2 linked regions of the Yarrowia lipolytica genome follow. The main gene of each other region encodes a partner of the protein of the gene in region 2 in a complex. Links are inferred from orthologs where the notes say so. Each region holds a gene or a part of one and is shown on either strand. Other genes may lie near its edges.

Region 1 (2,537 bases), on a different chromosome or scaffold from region 2:
TCTATCGTCTTTCTAGATCTGCTCTTCAGCTTCTTCACCTACCTGGCTCTTCGAGAGGAGCGTAACGAGTACCTCAAGAAGAAGATCCTCGCTGTCCAGGCGACCCAGAAGGATCAGGAGGAGAACAACTTGGTGAGTTGAAGATGAAGAGTTCCAGCAGACCTTGAAAGGAACTTCAAAAGAGCTTTAAAGTACATAAAATGAGCGGTCAGTAGTCGACTTTGCTAAGAGACTTCACACTCATGGCTGCTTATAGATGGAATGGTAGCTAAATACATGCATTTTCATTATTCACCATGAGTACACTGTTCGGTATTACAACCAAAACAGGGTCAGGACAAAGCGAGCCATTCTACTGGATACGGCTGGGTAGTTTCTGTATGTCTCAGATATTTAGAAGACACGTGAGCCACATATTCGCTCTACACACTCAACATTCATCTCTTGTACATCATATTTGATTCTATAATACTATCTCCATATATACAAATATGTATCTAATAGCTCTGCTGTGGCTCGTTCCTCTCGTACGCTTTCTCGCTTCGCTGAAAAAGGCTCGCTTATCGCCTAAAACAACCACCACTTCTTTCGATGCAGCTCGACAGCCTTCGCCTTGTACGACTCCATCTCCTTCCAGCAGTCTCGTCCCCATTCACAGCCGGCCATGTTGACAAGGAAGTCTCGTGACTTCTCGTCGTAGAACAGCTGCTTGTCATTCTCCATCTCGGAACAAGCTCCGGGAGGCAGACCGTTGATTTTTCTGAGGGGCAGAAAGCCGACCCGTCCTCGGATCCAGGGCTGGTTCGTGAACAGGTACTCCAGCGCGTCCTGCTCCTTGTGCTCCCACTCCATGTGCCTCTGTTCATAGAAGACAGGGTCCCACCACAGATCGAGCAGCTTGTCGGTCCAGTCGGACCGTCGAATGAAGAAGGAACCCAGATTGAAGCCTCCGCAGTCCTGGGTGACAATCAGGTCGACGGGCTGGTTGTAGTCCACGTAGGGGATCTGCACGGGTAAGTTCAAAGGGTTGAATTGGCCAGTTAGGTCTCGGTAGGTCTCATTGTAGAGGTTGTTGAAAATGTGCTGATCCAGCGAGATCTGGGGCTCCATGATGAGCGTATGCAGATCGAGCCACCAGAACCACTCGGCGTTGGGGAACTGGCGCATGGTCTCCTTGATGATGTCGACCTTCTGCCACGACTCTCTCCACTCGTGAGAGTATCTCTTCTTGAGACTCACGTCCTTGACGGCAAGATGGTAGCCGTGGCGCTCGGCGTATTCTCGCTTGTTTTCAATGCTGCTTCGCTCGATGGCCCACTCTTTGGCTCCCTTCCAGTGCATGACTCCTCCACCCTCGTTGGCAGCCAGGATAATCACGTACTTGCCCGAGCCCCAGTTGAAGTGCGGCACAAATGGCACGGCTGTGAAGAAGGACAGCAGGGTCAGCAGCAAAAAAATGACGACAAAGATTTTGCGCCGTATCAGGGCCGTAGCCAAACCCTCGATGAAGCCTCCCACCGTGGCGATGATCCCTCCTCGTTGCCGTCGCGACCACCCGCCCTCGGGCTTGTCCCACGCCGACACGGACGATTTGCGCCTCCAGTTCTGGCTCATTGTGTGTGTGTTTTTGTGTTTGTCGTGGTGAAGTGTATGTGTTGATGTTGTCTTTTTGGTGATGAGAGTTAATGTACAGTAGCTTGGTAGACATGCGTGTGGTGGACGTGCGTACTTTATTTCAGTTGGACCAGCATCGCTGTATTTGTAGCTAATGGACTTGGTGAACCTGGGACATGTCTTGGAAGAGCATACATACTACGTGGACGACGTAAGTCATTTCCGTGAGAATAATTACCGCTCTCTCTTGCTCCTCAATCTGGTACAGTATTACGTGTATATCTGGCGCCTTACATGTTCAACGTCACAGAATTTTTCGTCCCAAAAACCGTGTGCATACTACATACGTCATGGTGACGCTGAGATAATGAGATGATAGCGATGTAAGGACAGGTACGAGGAGCAGGACCATAGAAGATGAAGACTAGAACCGTACCAGTAGTATTGAGTGATCGCTGCACAATACCAACCCACATCTCCACCTCGTCCATCACTACAACCTATTGTTATTCACGACGATAAATATGCTCATGTGGACCAGTTACTTCTTTTCATCTTTAAGCTCCACTGACGGCTTCAAAGTGGGTACACGGCTGGTGGGCATGCTTAACGAGTACTTGTAGCTACAGTAGAGAAGAGGTTGTAGACAAGGCAATGGTACGATGCACGTGAGCTTTCACATCGAACCAGGCTTGACTGTAACCACCTCACAACTGCTTAGTCACATCCACTCACACGTGCCACCCCTACTTTTCTTTGTGCGCTTGTGCATCCTCTTGTCCATCTTCAGGGGCAACCTTTTTCACTACGAGTACATACTGTAGTTACAAGCACTGCTCCGAGGCAAGGATCGTCCTGAGTATGTGCGAGCTGATGACTGGGTGAGGTTATGAGTGGAGAGATGTTGATTATATAATAAAGAA
Region 2 (3,173 bases):
GGTGTGGTGTTCAGGGTAAAGATGATTCCGAGCTTTTTCACTTGGCAAAGCTTATGCACGATAACGGTCACGTGGCGAGAGATGTAGGGAAGGCTTCTAGAGGGCAAGCCGGAATGAGAGTCAACTGAATGAGAGTCAACTGAGAGAAGCAATTTGCCACAATAACACATTGTTGAGGTCGGAAAGCTCCTATTAAATCTATCGCATTTGTATGAAATAATGGAGGTTAAATCGTGAGAAAACCAAACAATTCAGATTAATTCACATCCTCCTGATATACGCCATTTTTTACTCTTTCAAATAGCTACTGTATAAAAGGTAGCAATATGAATATCAAAGACCATCCTTTCGTACCAAATGAGACCCTTCATCCACCAATAGAAATTTACAACACTCTCGAGACTCGCTTTTAGCTGTATCTCTGTTCTCAAGTAATATGGAAGAACTCTGTATACTTGTATGTACTGTATGTGTAAGTCGCAATGCCGGGCAAGAATTACTGAGTTGATCGAGGCTTGATCTTGCACAGTTCTGTAAGTTCCCACGGTCGGAACACAGGCTCGCCTCTCCTCCTACTGTTGATTGGAGACTCTCGGACCTTTGCCCTCGAATCTCTCTCACTCTTCCCAAATCTATTATGCTAGCTACTGATTGACCTGCGGCTGGTTCTGGTTCATTCTCTCGTCCTCGGGCTTCCATGAACCGGAAAACAGATGCTTGACAAAGGCCAGCGGGTCGTCTGTATCTTTGGCGCCAAACTGGTCGACACCGGGAGAGAACGACGTCACGGGCAGAACCAACACGTCCGACACGTGCTTGGGGGTCTTGAGGTTGAAAAAGTCCTTGATGCCGACCTGCGACTTGAGTCCCGACTTCTTTCGGTCGTTGAAGTAGTCGAAGACAGAGTCGGTCCACACTCCGGGCCCGGTCCAGTCCATGATCTCGCTGCCATCGGTCTTGTCGCCAGCCATCTCCAGAGTACCACTTCGCTTCTTGGCCAGCGTCTTCTCCACGATTCGGGCCACAATGTCTCGCAGAACGGGGTGACCGGGTTTGGCCTGGATTGTCCACTGGCACAGCTGGATTCGTCGAGCGTACCACTCCTTCCAGTCGGGTCGGTCGGGATCGGCCTCAATACCGACAATCAGACCAACAGTGGAAGGGGAGACCTCATCAGGGATCCAGTTGGGGATGGGCTTGAGGTCCTCAGTGTCGACATCGGAGTAGACACCTCCCCGAGCCAGCAGAACCAGGTAACGGAAGAAGTCGGCCCGCAGAATGTTTTTAGGCATGGCCTTGTACGCCTCCACCACCTCAGGGATCTGAGCATACAGGTGCTGTACAAACATTGCTGCTGCGTCATCGGTCAGCACCTCGTGGACAAAGCTGGGGTTCTTCTCCGTCCAAGTTCGGATCGGCTGTCGGATCGTGTCGGGCGTGTCGTCGGTGATCTCGTCCTTCCACGTCTGCCAGATGAAGGCAGGGAACTTTTTGTACGTCTCGTAGGGGAAGGTGTATGCGAGTTTTTCTCTGAGCGACGCTCCCTGGGGAGGAGTTCGAAGACGTTGGATCTCCTTCTCCAGCACCCGGTTTTCGGTCTCCAGCTCGCTGAGCTTCTTGTTGAACGAATCGAACCGCTTGGCCGCGGCTGCCTCCTGCTCCTTGAGCGCCTTTTCCGTCTCCGCCCGCATCTTGTAGATTTTGTTTTCGAAAGCGGACATATCGCCGGGCAGTAGCACCGTGGGGGCAATTTTTTCACTGGACCCGAAAAACAGGAAGCACACGGTCGCGACCGCGAGCCCCAGCAAAATCACCCGTCGAGCTGTGATGAGAGCCATGGTGTGACGAAGTATCGAGTGGGTGTCGACGTGCGATGTCACTAGAGTTGATGTACGTGTAAAGTTACGCGAGTTTGTGTGTAGCGTGGTGTGTGTGTGTGTGCGTCTTCTCCGAGACAATTAACATGAAGTAACATGCGAGAGATTAACACGATAAGAGGGATTGGATGGCTATTTATATTTTGAGGATGTTGTAGCCACCTCGTTGCATTCATTCTGTCATTAAATCTACTTCAACATGTACTGGTAACTACTTATACCTCTCGCCTACGAATGTTGTATTGCACCCATCTCACGCAAAAGAAACATAAAGGCACACACCGAGAGCAAAAAACGGTTCATAAAAAAAAAAAATTAAGAAAAAAAAAAATAAGAAAAGAAAGTCCGCAGATGCAAAAAGTCGACAGGAATAAAAACTCCCAAAAATAGACCCTCTTCATATATTATAGGTGACAGCGATAAAAAGGCGACATCAATGGGTGCTAGAGACGTGATAGCGACAGGAAAAATAGTTCAATTAAATACCCCAATTGTGAAGATTCTAACGGTATAAACAATATCACATTATTCAAAGTCCATCATCATAAACTAAGCAGCATCACACAGTTAAACCAATAGCGTTCATTTCGCCTGTCCTATTACCTGTGTCTTACAGTGCGTATACAACCTATAACAACTTGTTGTAACATTACAATGTAACGAAACAGATCCCAAAGACCCAAAAACAAGGAGATCATTACTCAGCCATTCAGCCGTTCTATTGCCAAAACAACCTCGGAGCTACAGTACTTGTACGAGTATGACGCAGCCAACAAAGTTGTGCCGCGCCAGCTGGCTGTGCTGCATCATACATGTAGGAACAACTGTTGACTTGTACAGCCTACAAGGAACTAGAAAATAAGGGGTAATGTCACGTGCCCATTGTGTGGTCACGTGATCTCAGCTTTGAATAGATTTGGATCATTTCACTGTGACAATATTGTGCAAGTTCCAACTTATGACATACTGAAAGTGAGTAAGATAACGCTCAACGGTCATTGGTTACACATTACTTGGTTGCTTTGTTGTACTAATATACTGTCTGTATTGGTTCTATTCGTTAATTGATATCGGAAAACAACTTTAAGGCCTCAACAACCACCTCATCCTGCATTCGAGGAGCAATCAACTGGATAGAAAGAGGAGCTCCTTCATACGTCTCGGGAGAATACAACGCCTGCCATTCGGCATCTAGCTTGTTTCGGGGCTTGAAGTCCTCCACAGGCTTGTCGGAAGCCTTGACAGACGAGTAAGGGACTGACACGGAAGTGTAATCCGCCAGATTCCAGTACGCTG

The links. Proteins that work in one complex are often made in the same cells at the same time.
Region 1: YALI1_F10633g (region 2) and YALI1_E30725g share a complex: the UniProt entries of both Saccharomyces cerevisiae proteins name them as parts of the M-Pol II complex. The link is inferred for Yarrowia lipolytica from reciprocal best matches to the Saccharomyces cerevisiae genes HOC1 and MNN10.

What each region holds. Positions count from the first base shown.
Region 1 is NC_090774.1:3,071,607-3,074,143, reverse strand, and holds YALI1_E30725g (uncharacterized protein), read right to left. Parts: upstream 1,615-2,537; coding exon 568-1,614; downstream 1-567. Other genes in the region: YALI1_E30743g (uncharacterized protein), read left to right, coding at 1-141. UniProt on the Saccharomyces cerevisiae protein: Required for polarized growth and efficient budding. The M-Pol II complex possesses alpha-1,6-mannosyltransferase activity and is probably involved in the elongation of the mannan backbone of N-linked glycans on cell wall and periplasmic proteins.
Region 2 is NC_090775.1:1,061,484-1,064,656, forward strand, and holds YALI1_F10633g (uncharacterized protein), read right to left. Parts: upstream 1,839-3,173; coding exon 645-1,838; downstream 1-644. Other genes in the region: YALI1_F10616g (uncharacterized protein), read right to left, coding at 1-170; YALI1_F10652g (uncharacterized protein), read right to left, coding at 2,938-3,173. UniProt on the Saccharomyces cerevisiae protein: The M-Pol II complex possesses alpha-1,6-mannosyltransferase activity and is probably involved in the elongation of the mannan backbone of N-linked glycans on cell wall and periplasmic proteins.